4 linked regions of the Schizosaccharomyces pombe genome follow. Changing the gene in region 4 together with the main gene of any one other region gives a genetic interaction. Each region holds a gene or a part of one and is shown on either strand. Other genes may lie near its edges.

Region 1 (6,572 bases), on a different chromosome or scaffold from region 4:
TCAGAATTGCAAAGTCGTTTAACGGTGACACATCATCTTGCACTTTTTGATTGTGAGCTGAATGCGGAAATAGTGCCAACTCAAATAAAGATCCTAGAGATTTAAGGAAATATGGATTTGACTCAAGAAAATGAAGTAAATAACTCGGTTTTATAATATTACTAGATATATCCGGACTTATACCTTGTAGCACATAAAAGGCAGCTTTTTGTTCTTTCACAAACATAGAGTCCAAAAACGAATTAATATGACAACCAACCGATTCACCAGGCTTAAGTTTAGAAATGCAAAGTAACAGCAAACATAGCTGATAAATATTTGACCTCCGTATACCGAAGTTTTGATCAAAAAAATTGCTTATGTTCTGAACATCACTATGTATTAACCGCGAAATTTGTTTAGAATTTTTTAAAACTTCTACTCTAAATTTTGGAAAAGAGTCACACCAACTTGCTATGATCATCAAATTGCTCTCAAAATCACTCCAAACATCTTTGTGGCGACCAGTGTAAGAAGCAAGAAATCTCGCGAGAGCAGAAAATGTAAGACGTTGCCTATTGATATTAAGATCCCTTCCAAAACTACAAGCGGAGCGATAAAAAAATGGTGAAAGTTGGATAACGTCTGGAATTCCAAAGAACGTCGTGCTAAAGCACCTTTGTTAGAATGAACAATTTCAACAATACCTTTAAAAGCGAACATACAAGGCATCCTCAACCCAAATTTTTTCACCATTATCAAAGCTTGATAAAGCCTCGAAATTCTCTTTTTATTAAATCATTAGCTTTGTTAAACAAAATTACGAAAATTGACAAACCTTTTAAATTATACCGTTCTAAAGCATTAAAGTCTCGTAAGAAAGAAGAAGTTTGTTTCATATATTCTTCATGAGTCTGTAACTGCCAAAGAACTTTAAATTGGGACTCCTTTTGACCCATTTTTGGGCTGGGTATCTTCGGCGTGATTCAGAGTGTAGTGAATATGACTTCATATTCTATGAAAATAGAGTTGTGCTAAACGAAGTTACAAGTTAACTAATATTGCACTTAATACTCATCTAAATTGAAAACAAACGCGATATACAAAGATATCCATTTAGAAGCAAATTCCTTTGCATTTTTTTGTTTTTTTTATTTTCCTAACTTGTTAAAAAAATACATGCTCAATTGTAAGTGTAAGCAGTTCAAGTTAGTGACGAAAAAGTCGAATTTCTACTAGAAAATTATGCAGCATACAATTTAAAACGGAAATGCTGTCGAAATAGAAAATTGGGGTAATAATGACATGCCATTTATTATACATTCATATATTCATATACTCATATTTCAAAAAATTTTATATACAAAAACCCAATCAAAGCTTTCACATTAGCAAAAGATAAAGGGTAGTTTAGAACACAAGAAAAGCAAAACTTTAAGAAACAGTAGAAATCCAGCCGATTTCCCAAACAGACGCACCGAAATGAAAAATTATACAAAAAGGTGATAGAAAGACAGCGGAGAAGTTGCGATATGGCAACTTTTAGGAAAGGAATTTTTGATAAAATTGGGTTAGTAAAGACTGTAATTCAACTAGCTGCGATTCGAGTCCATAATTTTTTGATAAAGCAGACGCATATTCATTTATTTCTGAAAAAGCTTCGGTAGAGTTTGGAGTTGTGGTTACATTTTCTAATTCGTTTTTCACTGTTTCGCATTGTGAGAAGAAATCGTCAATATCATCCAAAAACTATATTAAGTTAGTTAAGCGTAAATTAAAGAGCCAATGTTATGCGTACGTTTTGTTGATGGGACAATTTAATGTACTCATTTCGTAACTGTATTTTTTTACGTTGCACTGATAGTCGATCTTCCCTCAATTTCGAGAGATCCCGTTGAACAGCTAGTTTCTCATTTGCTGCTTTTTTACAAGCTGTTGATAAAATTCGATTAGCGTCCAGCAAGTCTATTAACTCTAGTAAACGAATAGAAACTTGTTCCACAAACGCATTTTTTACCTTGACTACATAGGGTTCTAGTGGCTCATTCTCTTTTATAAATTCTTGAAAAAATTGCTGTACGGCATCAAGCTCATTAAGAGTCTTTGACCCTCCTGCTTCTTTAGAAAGTTTGGTTAACTCGATACGCACGAGCTCATCTGAGGCTCCCACTACAATATCCTTTTCTGTTGATTGATCCAAAAGATTTCTAGGAGCCATTGATGATGTCTGTAAGGAACTTTGCAGACTACTACTTTGATTCGTCAAAGATTCCGGAGAAGAAGTGGAGATAGGAGAAGCAATTCGCTCTTCAGGGGCCTGAGAACTAAATGTTGTTCCTGTCACATTGCCTGGATGTTCCTCTTGGAACGAATCTTGAGATGAGTCGAGAGATGACAGCCTTTGTACTTTGTTAGGTGGTGAATTTTCTAGGATTGAAGAACTATATGCATCAGAGGTTTCTATATTATCACGTTTGTGAAACGGAATGGATTCCCTTTGTATTTTTTTCTGCTTATGAGAAAAAAAATGATTGTCTTTGACTAAAATATTTGCGCTACTCTGCGTCTCACGTGCGACAGCCGATGAAGATACATTTTCGATGCTGGAAACGGAATTTTCCCGAACTACTTCTTCAGAAATCCTTCTTTCAAGTATATTTTCTTGATCGGAAATAGAAAAAATAGATGTACTGTCATCCAAATCGCTAATTTTATGATATGCCTCTGATTGAGATACAATTTCAAGGTTTTGTTGGTTTGAAGCAGGCGAAGAACGAGTTGAACTAGAAGTAGATGACTCTAAATTGGCCAGAAGGTTTTGATCTAATGAAAACTCAACATTTTGAATTTTGTAGCGTCTACATTGGTTAATTTTTACAAAGTTTTGAAATAACATACTCAGCTCCACGCATTCGTGCTGCTCGTCGCTCATCTACGTTATGGGAGTTATTTTCCATAATATTTCATGCAAAATTTTTGCTTTTCTACGCGTATAGTCAAACATGGGGTTTTGGTAGTTGACGAATTCATCCAGCCTTTCTTTCTAGTCATGAATTGATTTTAGCTATTCTTTGTACAGCCCAAATAATAATTTTAACACCATATATTTTAAACTACGTATTCATAAAGCAAACAAATTACACCTATGTAGTTTAATAGTTAAATGTTCGACATATATATAAAACATTCAAATTCAAGTTCGTAACTATTGAAAATTTTCCAAACTCCTATGTGAGAATAAAATAGATAATTTTATTTTTTAACAAACTGATCAAATTTAGTAAATGTCCATTAAGTTTTCTGATTGCATGCCCGTATACATAGAAATTACCAAGTTATACGACAAACGGAACCAAATTTAGTTAATATTTATGTTGGTTCAATAATTATTATTACATTAATCTAAATTTTCGTATTTTTGGACTCAAAAGACTTTAGATAGCTGGTAGCTAGGGAATGAGTTGATGGTCGTCGTGTTTGTAATATTGAAGGCGACTACTTCTAAAAGTTTAACACCACGTATTGCGCGCTTTTTTTGTCCAAATATTATTTCTTTATACAATCCGAAAAGTAACGTTTACTATTCAACATAAATTCGATTGAAACTTTGAATTTATCGTTTGTCATTCCCGTTCACTGCATAATACGAATTAATAAAAGTAAACTATAAAAGAAAGATGGACGATGAAGGTGCTAGGAAAGTTGGTAAGCATTAATTAATTACCTGATTTATTTTAAAGCTGACCGAGACATATAGATGAAAAATGTCCGTTGTGCCAGGCGGACAGATATTTAAATCCAAATATGAAATTACTTATAAACCCTGAGTGCTATCACAAGATGTGTGAGTCTTGTGTAGACGTATGTTTGATTGCATTTGTTAATACAAATAAGAAATGAAGCATGATTTGCTAATTCATAGAGAATATTTACAACTGGACCTGCTCAATGCCCTACTCCTGGGTGCAACAAAATTCTCAGAAAAGCCAAATTTCGAGAGCAAACATTTGAAGATGCTCAAATTGAGCGCGAAGTCGATGTTCGGAAGCGGATATCTCGAATGTACGAACACTGTAGCTTTTTTTTTAATTTACTCTAACGTGCGTTTTTAGCTTTAACAAAGGACAGCAAGAATTTGACAGCTTGCAGGCTTACAATGACTACTTGGAAGAAGTTGAAATTTTAAGTATGTTATTGACAGCGTCAGAATTTTATTAACAATTTTTTTTAGCATTTAATTTGATTTATAAAATCGACGTTGAAGAAACTGAGGAAAAAGTTAAACAATATGAAAAACAAAATCGAGATTCTATAGCAGCAAATTCTGCAAGAGCCGCCGCAGAAGCACGCATTTTGGCTCAAAACGAGATTCTTCTCAAACGCCAAAAGCAAGAAGCAAGAGAAGCGGCTATACGTGAGCATCAAAAAGAAAAGGAAAGACGTGAACAGGTTGAGCAACAAATTATTTTTGATTTAGCTACATCAGGAAAAGATCCTAACAAAATTATCCAACTATCTGATTCCCTTAAAAAGCAACAAGAAAACATTGCCTCTTCGGTTTCAAACATTTCACGTTCATCTTCAATTCTTCTATCTGATGTTCAGCAAGTAGCAGAGGATACTACGCCTTTTAGTCCTCTTGCTGGAGAAAAAGATGGGAGCAAGTATTTTTCATACTCCAAAAACACCTATCAAGATTTGTAAGTGTCAATTTTGTAGCATCACCCATAAATATCATACTAACAACTCGATTAGATATTTGGAAAAAGTTTCGCATGAACCAGGCCGCAAATGCGGTTTCCGTATAGAAGATTGTCATTTGCGATGCTTATATGAGGCTTTTAGTGGCATTGATTACGATTTAGAAAGTCTCAAAAAACTTGAAGTAGCAAGTTAGTCTTGCTTTAATGCTCTCACCATGCAGTTACATTTCATTTTTAAGTAAACGACTATTCCATTTTCATACTAATATATTTATATACGTTTGTGGTAAGTATACTTTATTCTTTGTATTAGTAAATCATAGCCTTTGTATATTACCATTATCCCTAAAATATACAAACTAAAACAAATCCTTGTGATGCTCCCAAAAAGATTAAAACCTATAATATTAATACGGTTTGAATTGCCGCTTTTCTTTTAATTGTTGGATACGCTGTTTATCGAACTCAAACTTATGAGCTAAATCCAAAAGAGCCTTCTTTTTCTTTTCCCGAAGCTGGAAACGGTAAAAATCTTTGTGGATCCCAGTGTCTTTTTTCTTTTCCAATTGACGCTCAGCATCCTGAGGTCGCCCGACAGGTGCCCGGCCGCTGCGAACGACCGTTACGAATCCATCTTCATCAGGTTGATTTTTCATAGCGAATAGTCTCCTCTTTTCTGCTATTTCCTTTTTAGTAACACGTTTCATGTATGAATCAACACTTTCGGCTAGAACACGTGGATTGACAAACTGTCTATCATAACTTTCTACATAACCTATTAAACACATTAGTATTTCCAAAAAAATAATGACCATGTTCTTACGTTTCAAACCAGTATGCTGTGTGAACTTCCAAGGAAGCGAGGTCGTCTTTTTAGAAGCTGCCTTGATAACTTGTTTAACTTCAGCGGGCTCGACTAATTTGACGCGTAAATGGGTGCCACTTTTCAAAAGGCCACTAATATTAGGATAGATATTAACGATACGACCGCCCAATTGAGAAATTGCTCTTTTCAAAATCTTTTCAGTAGTTGTGATAGGAACATTAATCAAATACAGTGACTTCTTTTCAACATCTTCCGTGTCTTCTTTCAAAAATATACTATGCAACCTCTTTTTATTTTCCAAATAAATTTCTAGTTTAACAAACCCTTTTTCTTTGAGCTTGTCCATTTATATGAGTTGTTTGGTTCTTGGGTAAAATGCAATTTGTTACTGAGCTTGACCGAGGGCAAGACCATAGGAGCTGTATACTCTTATACCTTCGCATACTTCATCTCGTTGTGACTATAATTATTATTATATACAATATACATTAAGAATGTTAGAATAAGCGAAAATTAAACTAAGATTTGCTTATTTTCTAGGATTAAAAAAAAAATGTAATTATACAACTTGTAATTTATTTGCTGCTAAATAAAAGCTCCAAAAAGCAATGTAATAATTGAATTGGGAGCTAGAGGTGTTGGATTGTAAATTAATAAAAAAATACAGCTATATTGATATGCGTGGTTGCTAATTGCATTTAGTGTTCCTAACCAAGATAAACGTTTTTAAAAAAGATCCTTATAGCCTACTCATACAAAGTATAGTGCTCGGTATAGTCATTTAAAAGGATTATTGATATTTGAATAAATTACTGCACACGCTTAAGGTAACTTTTTGCATTATAAAATGGTCATTCAAAATTTTTCGTAATAACAAAGAAACGTTATTGTATACTTCTTGTTCGATTGGACTCACTACCTTCTACGACTTCCCTTATGCAAAATCAGTTTTCCAAAAGTTTGAAGTCTTTTAAGTTCTGAGTTTGGGTTAATTGTAGGGGTTTTGCGTCTTATTGGAGTCACAGGAAGCTCTATAGGGCTAAGTTTTCTCAACGGTGAGGATG
Region 2 (6,674 bases), 2.3 Mb from region 4:
ATATTAATAATCTGTTCCTTTAACGAAAAAAAAAAATTTCGATATAACAATGATTGTCCAATAGGGGAAAAACTTGTTCACTCACAAATTACTAAGAATGAAAAAAAATCAAATTGACCTTTTCGCAATCAGAAAAAAAAACACAAACAAATAGATGTGATAATGAATAGATAGAAATTAGGATGGAAAAAGGCACGCACTATTAAAGATGTATTAAAATCTAAAGTGCTTACAAAACCAAAGTAAAGTTTATAAAATTATTATAACAATAAATTTGACAACTTTTTTTATCCTGTTTATGTAAAACAACAAGAAAAGTAAATATGAAAAATTATAATAGCAAGTCTCAAGATTGTAAAAGACTTCAAGTGCTTTCTTTTCCTGTTTTAAATATAATTGGTATGAAAAGTCAGCAATAACTCGTCCAAAGAAATATTAATGGATCGTTATATTCAGACGATGCAGACTGCAACCAGTTTCATAAAATAAAATAAAAAATTAAAAATAATACTTTAGCAAGTTTTCAAACTGCTTAAGTGAGTTCTGTAAACAGAGGCTTGTAGGCAAAACCCTTCTTTATATAAAATCGTTATCTGGTCAACCTGTCCTTATCTCGTCTCTATATCGTTGCTTTTTCATCACCCTCGGTCCTTATCTGCATAGAGCGAATTGAAGGTGCGAGATATCCAATCATCACACGGTGGTGATGGTGCATATATGATAAGGTGCAGTAGGGGGGCCTAGTGCAGCCGAACTCGCTGTAAGGATTGGCAAGGGTAAGGAGGATACAATGAAGGAGGACTGTAAAGGGAAGAGCTTTCAGTCGTAAATTTACAGAAAAAATCTAGTTAGGAGAGAAGGAATTCGCCTTTGAATATGATACTTCGAATGGGAAAGATGAATGGCATAAATATGGCGGAATTTTCATCCTAATACAGCCTCGTTACTTCTCTTTAAACCCATTTAATGAATCGCTGAATATTGCCTAATACTAAGCTTGTGATCGGGCGGTTTCACTGTAAGGTGATTGGAACGTGGCATGGACTATGATAGTGAAACCCTGGCCTATCGTAAGTGGGGGGAGTGGGGGACTCCCCGATGCATTGATAAGTGTGACCCAAAAAAACAAGCGCTAATTCAATGCGCTAAAATACGATAAAGGTGCATAGTGACACGCGTTAGATCATGGTATATGAGTAGCAATATTGTAGCAGAGGAATAATAGGGTTGGTAGTAAACGAGTATATACAGTGTTTATAAACCGAAAGTCGAATAGTAGGAAAAATAGCAGTGATGAGAGTCGAAAGACGAACATCAATAATTTTTGTTTCTGTTTGACTTTTGATCGTTGTTTATGGACTTTTCCGTTTTTCAGTCAGCAGTGGTAATTTGTGTTTACACTCGTATGCCTTGTATGCCCAGAACTAAAGCTCATCTAAGCAATCCCTACTATAGAAGAGAAAAATAAATAAATAAAATAAATAATAATAAAAAAAAAATCTACCTTACTTCATTCAAATTTATTTCATTGGGTTTTATTTTCTTTTTAGTAATCACTTTAACTCACCGCTATTTTGGAAATTGTAGATTTTTTATTGAATATCGCCGATTTTTAGTGTTTTACAAACTGTAAGCCCAATGTCGCTTGAACCCAGTTTTACAGTCTGGATGAATTGATTTTCTTTGTATTACAAAGACTTTTCTATTAAATTTTCATTTTCTCAATTGTATCAAAGACATGACAGCAAAAATCAACTCGACACTATGAAATATACTATATAACAATTGCCTGTTTTATAGATGCCAAACTGATTTTATAAAAAAGAATGTAAAAGAAAATAAATGAACTAAAAAAAATTTAGTTTTCTACAAAAAAGCAAAAAGCCTACAGCACCCCGGATTCCCATGTTGTCTCCAACCATAGTACTAACGAGGCCCTCAGACGCTTAACTGCAGTGATCGGACGGGAACTGGTGTTTTCGCCTAGGTATGGCCGTAGACATTTGCTTCATTAATTTAAACTATATATACTGTAATTAAAGAATGTAATTTATCATGTTTGTTCTAGCTCATTGTAAACAAATACCACTTAAAAGTTCACATTATATTATTTAACATTGAATAATACATTCTCCCTTTGCATTCATTTAACACAAACTTGGCTTTTGTCAAATCAAAACCCCATGTACATTCAACGATCCTTAAAACTGCTACAATGTATAGCACTTGCGCGCTCATAATCTAATATTAAATATACAATTTTGTTGCTTTCTTAATGCAATATGAATGTTTTAAGGGATTGTACGTGAAGAGCTTTAATAAAAGAATTGTTAATAGGGATGCACTAATTGGTGAGTTATAAAATGTAATGATTTTAAAATCATTTATATAAGAAGGAAAACTACCTTCATTTTTTTTCTTTACTAATTTATTTTTCTTTTTTTTTAATGTCATTTTGTTAAATGTCATTATTTTTTCTTCAAAATAATTCTCATTTCCTGGATTATGTCAATTTAATTCTATATATTTTATAAGTTAAATTTCTTTGTTCTTGTAAATAACCATTCTGTTTTCTTTCCTAGATTTTAATTTTAATTTTTTTTTTTAAACTGGCGATTTAATTATCTTCAATTTTATATAGTTATATACAACTTGTCCGACTTTGCTTTCTATACATTTCTTTGTTATTGTAACTCATTAAGAAAATATTTAATTTACATATTATCAAACAGTTAAAAATATTGCATAATTTTTCGTTTCGTTGCAAATAGATTTGCAATCTTCATTTTTTCCTATCCATTACATCTTCAAACCTACCAATCTCTAATTTTGATCTAATTACAAATCTCGTCTAAAATACTATTCCAGTTCGAAACTCTGAAATGCTACAGTGATTAAATTATAAAAGCTGCTGTGTATTTCGACGCTTTGACATACGTGGACGAGTCTAAGCGTAACTGAATTTCTATGCTTGGTTCATGTTATCAATAAGGCCCTAAGAAACTGTTGAAACTACAGTTTTTTTAGTTCCATGAATTTTTTTTGCTGCCATGGACGATGAAGAAGGCAATGCGACACTCATCGATGAAATTTCCGTCCTTGAAGCCAGAAGGGATGTATTGCTTGATGAATTAAAGTCTTTAGATAATGCGACACTGTCCGATCTCGTTCAGAAGCCCGAGTTGTCCAAAAATTTATCTGTAAACAATGAATTTCTGAAAGAGACTCCGTTAAATCAACCTGCACTGCATTATGATCGACTTTCTGGTATTTCCTTTTTCCAACCCAATGATCCTGAGGAGTTATCTAGAAAGACCCTTCTCGTAAAAAATAAAAAGACAGGAGCCATTGAGACTGCTCCTTCTATACCGCTTCTTGGTGTCCGGTTCGATATCATGTTGAATCCAGTAAATATAGGCTTTACGAATCTCTCAGAGAATCCAATATCTTCCGCCTCTGGCATGGACGAAGAACTAGAAGGTGGAAATAGATTTGATGTTCCCTATTATATAATTTTTCGAGTATTTCACGACTCGTTTGCTTTATATAAATATACGATTCCAAGCTTTCTGAACATACAAGAATGGGCTGACGAGTATTTGACTGGAAAGAACCCTGAAAGGTTTAGAATATTTTTGTGGAAAGTAGATAAATTATTGACCGCATATATCTGTCGTAAAAACGCACTTTTACAAATCAATAAGTCTTTGACAATTGATGGGACAAACATATCTGCCAATCTTTCTTGTACACATCTTGTCATTCAAATTCCGAAAGTCATTCAAGCTACCCTTGTTTGCTCTTCAGAATCCACTAGAGTGGTCAAATCAAGGATATATCAGTATTCTGATGAAAACTGGAAAAGAGATCACAGACTTGAACTATCTTTATTAGACAACAAACGTTGGGTTAATATACTTGTATCACACCTAACTGCTCCAGAAAGTCATGCTTCGTTATGATTGTTTATTACCATACTCTTATTATTATTAGACAGGGACTATCTTTTTATACAAAAAACTTTATACTTGTTAGTTATTTACGATTGCACCAAATAATCGTCCATATTCCTTAATTTCCGCCTTGGTTTCATCCTTTTCTCTACCTGTCTCTCCAGTTGCTCTTTCAGTCTAGCCATTCGATTTCCATTTTCAGTAAAATACTCAACGCTTCTCTTGAAAAGGAAGCACATGTATTCACGAGTAATGTAAAACTGAAGCTTTTCGGATGCTGTAAGACATCCTATAGGAATATCCATTCGTAAACTTGTTCTAATAGCCACAATAAACTTCTGCTCACTACCTTGAATTCCTGTTTCCCGAAAACCGCAGCTTGCTGCTACTCTTTGCAAATGCTGAGCATTCGCTAAACTTCTCGTTTGAACATGCAGAATCATGGGTTCAAAAGCGTATTGTATTTCCCGATTTCCTTCTACCGGAGAACTGGGAACCTTTCCGTATTCCACTTTTTCATCTTCTAAAACCGGTGGTAGTTCTTCATGTGCCTGATGACTAACGAAAAGCCAGTATCCACCTCCTTTTCTGGAATTTGCTCCTTGTACATAGACTGAAATTCTTCCTGAACATGAACTAGTTGTTACCCAATCCGGGTGGGAGTTTATAACATCTAGCAATGGAAATATTGGGCTATCTGGGTGTCCTTTGGGTGATGCATCAGGTACGGAGGATTTCAAGCCTTCTAAGATTTCTTTTTTTTGAGCATCAAATGATACATCTATTCCTTTTATATTCATTCAAATTGTTCTTCAAGGAACTCCTTGCAACGACTTAATTCAACTCGTTGGTGGATTCTTACAACTTTTCAACTTGCGTTGTCAACTTGCCAAATCAAGCACCTACATTTTTTTTTCTAAATTCAAAACAATATTTGCAGATTCGTTTGCTCAAACCTAATAAATAAAAGAAATCAAATAGAAAAAATCATTTTTATGGTATTTTCGTACGCGCTTGAGTAATTTATCAATCCATGCAACAAACAAGTTCCACTGTATAATATTAACTTCCTAATTAAGGCTGCTACAAAAACCGTCCCCCACTTTATCTAATTTTATGAAATGAAGCGTTCAACTGGAGGAACGCAACCAAAGGGACTAAACGTCAAAAGGTCAAAGCTCGCTGATGCTAGATTCATAGAGGTTGAATCACCTGCCCTTTCAAATGGTGCTGTAGACTTAAAAAAATTCATTGAATCAAGGAGTTTTGAAATAACGGCTTTACAAGATGCTATGAAAAGATCAAAAGAATCCAGCGCTCAGCGTGCTTTCCAAGCTCTTCCTCGATGTTTACGAAGAAGAGCAGCTTCTCATAATATAAAAAGGATACCTAAAGGTTTAAGGGATAGAGCTTTATATGAAATGCAACTCAGTTCCTCATCTACTTTGCCCATTGCACCTTCCAGACAACGGTTAAAGAGATTCATCAAACGCTTGCGAAGAAAGTTAGCTAAATCAGGTGAAACCAAAGCAATTGACAGTACGGGAAGCTTGGTTACAGACAATTCTACAGATGATTCGCGAATTCCGTCCTTGGCTGCCGTCAAGTTAATACGTGGAAAATTTGCTGGTCGTCAACTTCGGAAGGTATGGCTTCCCACTCATTTATGGGTATGCAAACGCGCACACATGATAAATGCTTGGGGATATGCCATTCCCGAAAAACCGACTGAGAAATCCTATCGTCCTACCCATCGAGCAGCTTTTCGGAAAGATGCAATTGCATTCGACATGTCTTATGAACCATTGTTTTGCATTAGCGGGCCATACGAAGCTCTCAAAGAAAAGTTTGGAAATTCTTTTGCAAACGGACTGCCTCCTGTATTTCTGAATTCTTCTAGATCATTTACATCTTACCTCGTGAAGTCTGACATACACGAGCTCATATGCCCTTGTTTTCTACAATGGAATAACCCTACAGAAGATGACAAAAAACAGATCCCTGTAAAAAATCCTACCGAATGTGTGCAGTTAGTTATACGTTTACATCCATCTGCATTTCTACAAGCATGGAATTACTTATCTGGTATAGCTGTTTTGGATGATCGCATTGCTATGCACGATTGGCGACTAGATCTAGCATCTTTTGATATTCACGGACCCGATAGCAACATTATGCTCCACAAAGTATTTGACGACGTTGAATTAGATGAAGCAGGAAAAGTTTGGCAGTCGATTTCCAATTATTCAAGCGCATGCTTACCCATGGGCGCCTCGATATCTGTGAAAGCATTAGTTAATACTCGTTGCGATAAAAATTTATCCGAAAAGGGAGAAAAAAGCTTATTAGATTCTGCTGAAAACAGTTTACCAGCATCTGCAAACCAATATAGCACTCATTTTAGGTATTGGGAGAGACAGGAAATACCCTCTTTTGCAGTTTTTGAGAATAAAAATAGACATACTCATGAGAAAAAATCTTCTGAAAAAGAAGTTATACCCGTGTATATTACGTATAGAAAAGAATGGAACGGACTCACTGTTATTTTGCCTTGGGATTATGCCAAGTTTGTATGGAGGAAGATGATGTATCAAAAAGGAATACGTTTTGGCGGATTAGAAAATTTGCACCAAATTGCGTTTGAAAAAAGAATGCCTTTCTTTCCGATTGATTATCCAGATACGATTAGTGGGCAACTTTGCGAAGAGGAAAGAAAAAAAC
Region 3 (5,607 bases), on a different chromosome or scaffold from region 4:
TCAACAAAGACCTTTAAATGTTGTCCTATGGGGAGACCAAGAACATCGTTAGCGCGAGGCAGACGGAAACGATAAATGGCAGTGTTGTGGTTCAATACAGCTTTATCACTAAGTTCAAATTGTTGAATTTTATCACTCAATACTTTACGAACGCGTCCACGCCAGAACTTATGAAAACCAAGAGAGAATGCCACAACAATAGCGTAACCCACCCATTCGCGTTTCACAATGTAAGTACCAAAGATGATCAAAAACACTGGAATATAGACTCCATGCAACGGGGTACTAAGAAGAGTTTGTTTGGCCATTTCAATTAGGATTGTGAGCCAAAATAACTAAAGAAAAAGTAGAGAAGCCTGAAAGCAGAAGAAATGCGAAACGTTTCCAGAAGACTCAAATTACAAAATCTTCAAGAAACTAAAATAATTTAAAGAATAAGAAACCTTTCAATAGTTTCAAAAAATTTAAAAGAAATCTCTAGTTTTCACGATTCCTGCAGTATTGCTAACAGTAGAAGTTTGGTCAAGGGCAAGTCTATAAAACTAATCAGATTTCTCGAATGATTTTTTAAGGTCATGAACAACTAAGCATGGAATACTGACGAAAGAGAACATAAATCATCACATAATCCATTTCATTGTAAATTATATAGATTGAGGGCTTTCGCTTCAAAATCTGCTAAAATTATTTATTTTGAAAAACCAGCTTGTCGAACCATACTTGTTCGCAAGCATATGCTTGTTTATCACGCCGATTCATAATTTAAGAAATGAATTAAATTTTAATAACTAAATTTTGTAAATTCGTTAATAAATAGTCTTTCAGCAATGATCTACTACCGGAATACATGAGATATATCCATCTATTTATATATAATTCGGTATACAGTTTGGAAGTGAAACACCGTCTCTGAGGAACAAGCATTAAAAGACAGGTAATTGTTTCCAAGTAAGAAGAAGCAATTTAAAAACCCTAGATCCATCAACTTGCATTACTTAACATCACATTTTTTAGTAAAGGACCAGTGTAGGCACTAAAAGGAAGAACCCCAATAGCATCCAATGTTTCCTCAGGTTTTCAAAATTTTTGTTAGCGAAAGATACAGGAGCAGTATAAAGCCCTGCATTGGGGTCTCCTGTTGATGATCCTCCATTCGAAGCCTTAAAGACTTGAAGCGATTTTAAAAGTAAGGGAGCTTGAATAGCTTCCAATGCAGACATTTGCTCTCCAAGGCCATAAAGTCCTATTATAAAGTTAGAACCAATACTGTTTTTTTTTAACAGTCAAACATACCATCCCAAGTATCGTTATTCCACCACCATTGAACACCACAAGTCACTCCATCATAACCGCCGCAACATGCCCCGGCTGCAGCTTTGGCGGTGGATATCAACAATGGTTCTAATAACGGTGCAGTGAATGGAGCCATTTGTGCCGTGTAGACCATAAATCTGGTCAAAAAGCCTTTGAAAGACGTTTGATCATAGTTACATGAAAGAGCTATTTCACATACTGGTTCGAACATAATATCCTTGAAAAAAAAGGTTTTGGCAGTTTTGTTGGCAAAACCTTCAACTCGAGTTTTCCATACCGTAGAGTTCGTCTGGTGAAACTGTTAGTTACAATCATTTTGCATTTTACAGTAAAGTTATAATGTATATATCCTTTAAACGTACATAGTTATACATGTAAGCTGCTCCTGCCATGTATAATCCTATATTGTAAGTCCACTGAGTAATTTCGATAGATGAGCAATTATCTTTTATAGAACTCCCATCAAATACAGTGTAATCTTCTTGAATAAACCCAATCCTTTGGCTCCAATCGTATGCTACATTAGCCCACTCAGCATAAGTATCGTTATCGGTGAATCGAGCCAGTCGAGCTGCAAGCTGAAAAAATGCTCCATTTGAGACAGTGTTCTTATAGTTGTACCCAGAGTTAAATTCAGTAATCTGCCATCGAAGACCACCGTTGCAATGATCCGTGTCCCATCGTGTGACCTGTTGGTTGAATACAGCTTGAGCCAGTTCCAACCATTGTGGTTCATCGGCTGCTGGATTTGAAAAGTTTGCTTCAGCGGCAGATATAACGGTCAGACCCCAAAATGCCTGATCGTCATTTCCCTCAGATGTTGTATAATTCGAAGGCATATAATCTGAATCCTCTCCAGATTGGTACAACATGCTGGTCTTTACCAACTCGTTATATGTACTATTACCAGTGGCAATGTATCTATTTAAAAGTCCCTAAAGCCATTGTTGTTAATAAATTATACTTTTAAGCTCAACGTACATTCCAAGCAGCCCCGGCTTCCCACCAGTAGGCTGGAGGAAGGAACATCCCGATAGTTCCTCCTTTGTGCTGACCAGCATAATAATTCAATAATCCATCAGCTACTAAAGAAGTGGCTAAGTCAACGGAGGACGTGTCATTCAAATCCACCGAAATGGCTTCAGCGAAGGAAAACAAAATAGTTGCAAGTGAAATAAAGATTGTAAGACTCATTGAAAAAGAAGGATTAAATAGAGTAGTATCTTTGAAGATTCCCATATGTATCCAGATGACTGTCGCCCTTCATATGATTCAATGATGACTCATTAATGACTGATAGAAATAATCTAAACAGTAAACAACGAACGACCAAAGGTAGGGAAAAAATATAACTTAACGCAATCTATCTTCTATAAAATTCTTAAGCCTTTCAATGAAAATACTCTCACATTTATTCGTGAGACCGACAGCCCCATGCATATCACAATGAGCAAGAAGGAAAACCTTAGAAAAAATACATCAAAAAGGTATTATTTAAATTGTGTCTTTTTGTTTTAACCGCAATTTTAACTGTTTGAATATAACAGTTTGTACATGGTATCCCAGTACTTTCTAGCGGTGGACTTATTTCCTCGTTCGTTTAGAGTATGTTCTTGCCTTTTCTTTTTTACCTTCCTTTCCCTCAATTTTCGGTTTTTTTAAACTGGATATTGTCTCCTTAACTGAGCGTAAAGTTTCATCGTGAAGTTCGAACTTTTCATATAGAGAGAGACAAAAGGACTTCAACTACAAATAAAATTAGTAATTTATTCTTCTTAAAGTTTATTTTTCTCTACTATATAAAGAATCACTGTACATGCCTTTATAATGTCCTCTCTCATTTCTAAATCAACTTGATACCGTGTAAGGCCTTCAGGATTTACGGTCTTATTACCTAGTTGGTAGCTTCACTGGGGTTAGTAACTAAGATGAAATCATGAACTTACGCTTGTAATTTGTCCATTGAAAAAGTATACATATCTCTACATGATTTTGTTAAAATTTGGTCAACCAAGTACGACTAGACATACCTAATATCATCAAGATATATAGGTGTAGAATTATACACCTTCCCAATCACTTCATTGCATCTAGTACAACTCAACTCTGAATAGACGCTATAATTTTTGTATTAGTAAACTGGCGAGCAACACATGCAACATACCAAAGACCATCATCACTCCTTTTAAACGTATCCTCAACGCGTACACTATTTTCTACTGCATCTAAATGAAATAATTAATTACATGGACATTTCTTTTACCACATACCACTCAAAGTGAAACTAAGATATTCTCGATGAGAAATAACCCAAGCATTAGAATCACCAACTATTTGAAAACATTTTTTACATTGGAAGACGCTAGGTTGTGACTCTTTTTTAAAATCAATATAGCCCGAATGACTAGTTTCCGTCTGGGACATACTTATGGAAAGTTCATTTTATCTAGTAGTAGTCGTTATTAATTAGGTGCGCTTAACATTCTATATATGGTGAACCAATATATATCAGATGTAGAAGCAAAAATTAAATATATTACAAAATTATAAAAAAATAAATTACTCATAGTCCTTTAACTGTTTTCGGAAGAAGGAATAAAGACGCCTTCCTGCTTCGGGGCCAATTAGTTCTGACCATTTTCTTTCTGAGGTTTCGGAAGCTTCTTGAATATCTTTCACGCCTCCATAAAACACATTTCTGTAGTTTTTCATAGTTATGTATGGGAGTCCCATTAGCAGGTCGAGTGGAGCTTGATTATAAGTATTCGTTGAGTCTTGCCCAGCTTCCAAACCTATAGAGGCAGCTGAAGCAGGATCTGGTTCTTGTTCCATGGCTTTCAAATCTTGAAAAATAATTGATGTAACGTAGGCACTAGAAGACCAAACAATCCTTAAGTTGGGAAACGATAATGTTAACAGTACCAGTTTAGATTGAACATCATTTTTTCCAATTTCGCTTGAAAGGTCGGAGAAAGGCTAAAAGCTGTCAGACATAGATTGTTTTAGTCAGACTTACTGGAGATGTAAAAGATTGGTGTTGTTCGAATTCAATTAACAAAACTGGAATTTCATAATATTCAGTCATAGCTTCACATTGGGAATAAAGACGGCCATTGCTTAATGATTGGATCAAATCTCTAATTGACTTCCTTTCAACACAGATCTTTGGTGATAATATATAATCTCCCACTAAGAGTTGGCAAGGGATAACAGAAAAATTATTTCCATGTAATATGGAAGGTAACGAACTACGGAATTCCCTCAAGTCAACGATAACCTTTAACGTTTTAATACATATAAACATAAGATATAATGAACGTACCCTAGGTTTCTCATTTGTGATCGATAACTGTCCTCCTCCAGCTATACGAGTATTGACATTTCTTAAAAACTTTGACTCTTGGCTTTCGAACCTTTCGGAATCAGCCGTCAGTACGATAGCCATATTCTTTTTAGATTAGCAAGTTTTGAAAAGTTTAGAATAACTTACAGATCGTTCTTTAATAAGACGAGAGAATGAATCTTTCTCTCTCCTTACAGAAAAAAGATATTTTTGCTCCTCAATCGATCCTCCATAGTACATAAAATAAACCCTTAGAGATCTTTTGGGATATGTAGCTTTGTAAACCTCGACTCTTCGAATAAAATTGGGATCAGAATCGAACATAATAACGTACCGAGGTCTTAAATTATTTAATACTAACTCATCTCTTTCACCATTGTAGGAATAGATATAGATGGAATTGAAATCATCAATAACTTCAAATGCATCATTGCCCACTTCAGGTTCATAACGTTTGGATAAGTGTGAGAGCAGACTAGACTTATTAGCGTGTAAAACCTAATAATTAGCGTACATTTTCTCTAGGCGTAAATCCCTACTAAAAGAATCATTCGCATCTGTATTATCAGAAGTTGTGCGTGAAGTGGCATTGTTTCCACCTCTTACCCTTCTTCTCTTTGAAGGTGGAACACCTTTTCTAGACGTTGTATTAGAAGCCTCTCGCTCCTTGGAAGGCTCTGGTTTCTTGATTGATTTACTCATCTTTCTATATTGTTCTCTCCATTGAAAATAGTCCACTAATTTGCTATTCATATTTTTCAAAGAGTCTTTATTGTCGTAAGTCACCGTACTCAAATAATCACGTAACTGTAAACAAGTACGCTCATCTGCGCACATAATCATTATCGAATTATTGGATGTTTCTGAAAGATTTGTTAATATTTCTTCCTTTAAAGAGAGTTTTTTTTATACCTGCATCTGTATCTGCTAACATTGTTTCATGACACACT
Region 4 (5,856 bases):
AAAAATACTTTCTTTGACTAAGAATTATGAGCGTGAACTTGAGTTTACGAAAAAGATGTTTGAAATTGACAGTAAAAATTATCATGTCTGGTCCTACCGAGTTTGGATCTTGCAAAATTTTAATGATTATTCTCAAGAGCTGAAGTTAACCAACGAATTATTGGAAAAAGACATTTATAACAATTCGGCTTGGAATCATAGATTTTATGTTTTGTTTGAAACCTCCAAGGTGGTTTCTTGGTCTTTGGAAGAGGAACTGAATTATCTGAAAGACAAAATCCTTTTTGCTCCTGACAATCAGAGTGCTTGGAATTATTTGTGTGGGTAAGTATCTCTCATTTCCATTAATTACATTCTTCATTAACTTTTTTACAGTGTACTTGACAAATCAGGACCTTCAAAACTTGATAATCTCATAGCTAATCTCCGAAAAAATTTGCCTGCTTTACACAAGCCACTCTTAGAGTTTTTAGCTATGTACGAGCCTTCGTCGTCTGAAGAGATTTATCAAAAACTAGCAAATGAGGTTGACGTACCGCATGCCGCTTTATGGACATGGATGTCCCAAAGGAGCAATCCTTAAATCTATGCTTTGAATGCTAATTGGGTTTACTGATATTTTGATAAAGCATCTTGTTTAAAATTCCTACTAATTAAGAAAGTAGTTGTGATGTATAGTGAATCGTTTATGAAATCAATAACATTAGTCATTCCTCCAATTGTAAGTTTCACATAATAGTGAACAAGTAATGGTTATTAGGCCAAACAAAGAATAAAAAAAATGTCAGAGGCATATTTTTACTTTTCTTTCTTAAGGTTTCTTCGAACAAGTTCCAAAAATCTATAGATATGTTAGTGTTCGCACAATCAATGGAATACATTCAAAAAAACATACGCAGGATCATTTTGAATTCCAGATTTTTTAAATATCTCCGTGATAGTTTCAGCTAACTGCTTGAATTCCGGATCACGAGTAATCTTTAGGATAGTAAGAGGTGACGGTTTTGAACCAGCTTCAAGGCCGTATTTCTCAAAAAACTGACGAAGACGGCCAACCTTTTGAGCAAGTTCCGGATCATTAACAACTAATGAACTCATTTTCTCTTCAAGTTTCTGGACTTGCTCATCCATTACTGGATCCTTGAAAATAGTGTCGTCAGGTTGCGTAGTCGCACTTCTCTTCCATGTTAATATACTAGGAAACCTATTCCTATACAGAAGAGCATTGTTGTATGTAAGAGGCCTTCTGATAGTCAGCTGAGACAAATACTTCCAATATTTCATATTTGTAAGGTGGTGGTTAATTTTGTGTTCTAAAGAAGTATGAGGGATTAGGGAATGTGTCGCTCAGATAAGCTTGCTGCGGCAAATTAATACAAACTCTAAACGAAATGAAATCTTTGTTTTGGATACGTATTATTCACTCATAATTCTAAAATTTTGACTGGCAATATAATACTTTGATTCTTCCTGTTGTAGAACTATATTGTCTCTTAAAGGAAGTTAGTAGAGGATCTTAGTACAAGAAGGTAAATACAATAAAAACTGACATACGAAAATACATGAGGTTTTTTTCCATCGAAACGTATTGTTCCTGAAACAACAATTATGATATTCATATCATTACCCATGACCTGTTGACTATCGAAATCCTCAACTTTAGTTTTGGAGTATGGAAGATTAACTATCATAGAGGTAAATTCGGTTACTTGCATGGGTTTTCCATTCCATAAGATCAAACTATTTTCTCTGTAAAATTCTGCGATCCCATTTCTGTTCGTATCAAGAGATGAGTAATACCGTTGGACGAACTCCTGCGCATCTTTAATTGTTAGTTTATAGATAAAGCTTTAGTAATGCGGCATTTAACATACATTTTACACTCGACTCCATAATGATTCACAATGACAGAAATTTGTAGTGGTGTAAGTAGTCATTTAAACAGGTACATGTGTTATAAATTGAAATATTGTACTCATTAAGCGATATTTAAAGATAATCTTTGTTCAACACACTGAATGGATATTTCGGCTAGATATCTTTATGACTACGATTTTTACTTATAACATGAAGAGTGGAGAACAATTATGTGTACTCATTTGCCATACTACAAAAGCATAGATCACGTAAAAACTCAACGAATGATTAATATATTAGTAAAAAAATATATATTCGAATGTAACATGATAACTCGAAAGACAATTTGTTGTAAATGAAAACAAAAAATAAATATATGTTCGAAGAAATAGGTCATTAAAAGCCATGGTATGGCAAGCGAAGAAGATGGGAGAATAAGTGGTTTAAAGCTGAATCAACATTTTTTTGACTCAGAAATGCATTGGAAACAAAATGCTTTTTTACAAGTGCTGGAAGAATGAGGGTTCTGAGTGCTACTTCCTGAGAACGAAGTTTGTTGACTTAAAGGTTGAAAACCAAGATTAAAATGATGGGTAGAAAGATTAGGTCGAGGGGATATCATTGAAATTAATGAAATAAAGTTTCTTCGTTTTGTAGAATTGGAGTTTCGGACTTTTGACTTAGAAAAAGATCTACGTAAAGGAGTTTTAGGAGATGATAATAAAGGGTTCCTTCTTCTCGGTGAAGATAAAGTATCAGAGATGACGTGCAAAATCTCATTTTGTTCTATGCTTTTATGCTTGATTGTATCCAAACCACGCTGATCTGTTAATGTTCCTGATGAGTTTGGCAACAGACAAGATTTTTTTTCCAAAGCTGAAGCATCAACTTTTCTTGTTTTATCATTGATTTTTAGTCTCACGCATGACTGAGAGGGTATAGTTTCATTACAAACATTTTCCACAAAAAGTGAAGCTAAAGGAACTTCATCTGCAAACACACAATCTGACACCATTTCATCACGAAGTGATAGATTTTTAAATTTATAGATCTGGGGAGACTGAAAATCCTCTATATGGACTGGTGAAACAGCTTTTTCCCCTGGGTTGCCAATGCTTGAGTCTAATTTTTTTTCGTATCCATTTGACGCTGAGATTTCAAGGTTGTTAAATGTAGGATCCCATATATCATCTTTTGTTTTTAAAGCTTCTAGATGTCCATTATTAACAATAATTTCACCAGTTGCAAGATCTACTTCATCAGCTATATCAGAAGTGTCGCGTCCATATTTTTTGAAAAGAGATTCCAAAAAGTCGTTGTACTTCTTTTCGGACTCAATTCTTTTACAAAACACATCATCACAAGCCGTAGGATTAGTATTAAATTCGACAGACTGAAAAGACAACAGATGTGGACAAGAATAGTTTGGAGGCAGGTCAACGGCTTTCGGTTGACGATTGCACATGATTGAAAGTTAAAATCATTTGGTATTGAGAAATTTTGTTCAAAAAATCCTTTCCAATAAATTTCTTAAGGCAAAAATTGGAGATTTTCAGTTATTAGTAGGAAAGCGATTTCAGTAGTGGTTTATTAGTGAACGGTGCCATAACTGTAGACTTGTATTAGAGTTTCGTAACTAATTCACGAATGACTTTTAGATTTAATTTCTGTTAGAACTTAGAGATCAAAAAAAAAAGATAATGAAAAGTTCTTTTGAATAGTTTATGCAAAAGTGTAATTTCAATGATGGTCGCTTAACGCTTGTAAATTAACTCATTGCTCCAAAAGACTGATTTATCTGTTCTTGCACTAATTCTATACTGTTTAAGAATTTCTAAAATACATAAAATTAATAGACATACAATTTTGTAATAATAACGAACGCTGCGATACCTTGTGGATTCCAACGAACATAGCAATTCCACATTACTTTTTTAATGATAAAATGAGAAATCAACGATACCTAAAATAAAGAAAATAAGGATACTCGTTTTGGTGAATATTACTTTGCATCATTTGCACAATTTAATAAAAAAATCCCATAAGTTGAGCATTCCATTTGTCACATCGCCCCAAAGAAGCGTGACGATTCTTTGGCTTTCTTTCACAAATAATTCGTATTAGTTGAAAGCGTTCTGTTCGACAAGTTTAGCCATATTTTGATTGTTCATTCATGTAAATATGAGGATACGTAGCGCAGCTCCTCAATAGAATTCTTTTAGAAAGTGTCTATTGTACCAACTAGTAACTATTATCAATTCCATTACAACATAGAATTGGAGAAATCATCGCTAAATAATTAGAACAAAGGATGAATTGATCTCGGCATTGTTTGCATTCTTACTAAGTGCCAAGTGAAACAGACAATAGCGAGAACAATAGAAATGTTAAACAAAACGACAGAACAATTTGGACACGATAGGGAACGTATTGTAAAATAAACTATTTTTGGCTCTTTGTGACTTAGTCTCATGAACACAGTCTTCTATAACTTGAAGCAAAACCGAGTCGTTTCATGTTTCAGTTTCTTACGGTATGCTTGTTTTGAACAATTTCTTTACCGAAGCATTCACATGAAAAGAATTACTACACCATATGGAATATGACAATAGGAATTACTCATTCCCCTCCAACAATAAACGTACCCGTTACCTGAATAGCACAGCATGCCGATGAAACAAAGGAAGTTGAGTACAGCGCAACTCTTTCAACTACTCCATAATTGCACTTTCTTTAAAACACTACACCATTGTTTGAGCATTGTATAGTTCAAATACTCGAATTTCTTTGTATTCCTTCACCATGGATCCTAAGTATAAAAAACCGCATAGAGCTCCATATTTGTCATTACATTTGAAGGTTTCGTAAAGCAAGCTGAATAAGAAACTGCAATCAGAAAAAAAAGAAGGGAACGACGAAGACTTTGTTTTAGTACTAGTATTGCAATTGACAAATAGGTTCAGCAAGGAATTTTGATCACTTAACTCGATTTTTTTGAAACCTCTCTGATTTTGCCATTCGCTCGTCTACTTATTCCTCATTACCTTTTGACACTCTTTTGCTTTTTCATTTTTTAGTTTTTTTCAGACTAGTAGAATTTTGAAATAACTTCTCATTGCATTGCATCGCATTTCTCAATTTTTTATCTATCTTTTGATTTGAGTCTTGCTTCTTTTTAATACTTTCTTTTCTTCTTCTTTGAAAAACATTATTAATTATAATTTTTCTTTTATCGCTTGATCTTCCCATAATTCGTCATGTCGATTGCTTTGGCTTTCTTTATTCTCGTTTTGCTAGGATTTTCCTGGGCATCCCCATCTGCACTTGATGACACTTTTAACGTCAGTCGGTCAGTAGGTTTAATTTCATCTTCTAATTTAGAATCTTGCCAATCAAGCCCTCTCGAAGTTGGCAATATCTATAACTCAACCTCTGCTTCTGAGATTCTAAGTACCTTAGATGCCAAGTACATTACTATAATTGGTGTTATCGGGTCTTCCAACTCCTCCATTCAAGACTTAATTGACTCTGTTGGCAATTCTAATAATGCAGCTTCTTCCAATCCTACTTCCACCGTTACGGAATACGTTGACAGAGTTCAAACTGTTACAGAATATGTTACGTTGTCTTGTGGTCAAGCTTTCACTTCTACAGTAGACATTTCTTCTAGTACTAGTTCATCTGTTATCAACTCACCTACTGGTACGGCTGTTAGCTCTCAAATTTCCACATTATCCATGAGCCCTTCATCAACACCCGTATTTTCTCCATCAGCTAGCGTTTCATCGAAAGTAGCTAGTTCTGTTAGTTATGTTTCCAGTGAACCCAGTGACTCATCTTCATCCACAAATACAGTGATTTTGACTACATCTGTTAATTCCCCTGCTGTTAGCAGTTCGGAAACACTTACTTCTGTAAGTATCACTTCTACCGAATCGGCATATACTTCTTCATCCGTAGACATTGCAGCTTCAACTACTGCTTCGAGTACACTTCCTG

The links.
Region 1: of scm3 (region 4) and mis17, extra expression of one impairs growth in a mutant of the other (dosage growth defect), as found in Schizosaccharomyces pombe (one study listed by BioGRID).
Region 2: mutations in scm3 (region 4) and mal2 impair growth when combined (synthetic growth defect), as found in Schizosaccharomyces pombe (one study listed by BioGRID).
Region 3: mutations in scm3 (region 4) and mis18 impair growth when combined (synthetic growth defect), as found in Schizosaccharomyces pombe (one study listed by BioGRID).

Annotation. Positions count from the first base shown.
Region 1 is NC_003423.3:3,210,635-3,217,206, reverse strand, and holds mis17 (kinetochore protein Mis17 ), read right to left. Parts: upstream 3,002-6,572; 5' UTR 2,937-3,001; coding exon 2,878-2,936; intron 2,838-2,877; coding exon 1,778-2,837; intron 1,729-1,777; coding exon 1,522-1,728; 3' UTR 1,269-1,521; downstream 1-1,268. Other genes in the region: rtc5 (V-type ATPase inhibitor and disassembly protein linked to MTOR), read right to left, coding at 1-647, 705-765, 818-938; transcription factor TFIIK complex ubiquitin-protein ligase E3 subunit, Pmh1, read left to right, coding at 3,657-3,684, 3,737-3,840, 3,902-4,041, 4,092-4,165, 4,211-4,679, 4,735-4,876; rRNA processing protein Rrp7, read right to left, coding at 5,090-5,457, 5,506-5,854; protein Mis20, read right to left, coding at 6,424-6,572. UniProt on the Schizosaccharomyces pombe protein: Component of the kinetochore, a multiprotein complex that assembles on centromeric DNA and attaches chromosomes to spindle microtubules, mediating chromosome segregation and sister chromatid segregation during meiosis and mitosis.
Region 2 is NC_003424.3:4,182,473-4,189,146, forward strand, and holds mal2 (kinetochore protein mal2), read left to right. Parts: upstream 1-2,809; 5' UTR 2,810-3,050; coding exon 3,051-3,962; 3' UTR 3,963-4,039; coding exon of another isoform or gene 4,040-4,753; 3' UTR 4,754-4,944; downstream 4,945-6,674. Other genes in the region: wybutosine biosynthesis protein Tyw3, read right to left, coding at 4,040-4,753; pop100 (Rnase P/MRP subunit), read left to right, coding at 5,075-6,674. UniProt on the Schizosaccharomyces pombe protein: Component of the kinetochore, a multiprotein complex that assembles on centromeric DNA and attaches chromosomes to spindle microtubules, mediating chromosome segregation and sister chromatid segregation during meiosis and mitosis.
Region 3 is NC_003421.2:511,033-516,639, forward strand, and holds mis18 (kinetochore protein Mis18), read right to left. Parts: upstream 3,776-5,607; 5' UTR 3,739-3,775; coding exon 3,585-3,738; exon of another isoform or gene 3,540-3,584; coding exon 3,479-3,539; exon of another isoform or gene 3,432-3,478; coding exon 3,345-3,431; exon of another isoform or gene 3,297-3,344; coding exon 3,261-3,296; exon of another isoform or gene 3,220-3,260; coding exon 3,135-3,219; exon of another isoform or gene 3,079-3,134; intron 3,061-3,078; coding exon 2,899-3,060; downstream 1-2,898. Other genes in the region: cbr1 (cytochrome b5 reductase), read right to left, coding at 1-308; dcw1 (mannan endo-1,6-alpha-mannosidase), read right to left, coding at 1,011-1,243, 1,294-1,603, 1,677-2,249, 2,296-2,508; rad16 (DNA repair endonuclease XPF), read right to left, coding at 3,874-4,290, 4,331-4,591, 4,637-4,762, 4,805-5,132, 5,172-5,520, 5,570-5,607. UniProt on the Schizosaccharomyces pombe protein: Component of the CENP-A recruiting complex that ensures the integrity of mitotic spindles through maintenance of kinetochore factors mis6/CENP-I and cnp1/CENP-A. Maintains the deacetylated state of histones specifically in the central core of the centromeres.
Region 4 is NC_003424.3:1,859,400-1,865,255, reverse strand, and holds scm3 (CENP-A histone chaperone Scm3), read right to left. Parts: upstream 3,450-5,856; 5' UTR 3,323-3,449; coding exon 2,312-3,322; 3' UTR 2,124-2,311; downstream 1-2,123. Other genes in the region: geranylgeranyltransferase type 1 alpha subunit Cwp1, read left to right, coding at 1-324, 376-583; protein dpc13, read right to left, coding at 799-841, 896-1,284; mRNA export receptor Nxt1, read right to left, coding at 1,494-1,822, 1,875-1,893; cell surface adhesion protein for conjugation Mam3, read left to right, coding at 5,115-5,856. UniProt on the Schizosaccharomyces pombe protein: Centromeric protein that plays a central role in the incorporation and maintenance of histone H3-like variant CENPA at centromeres.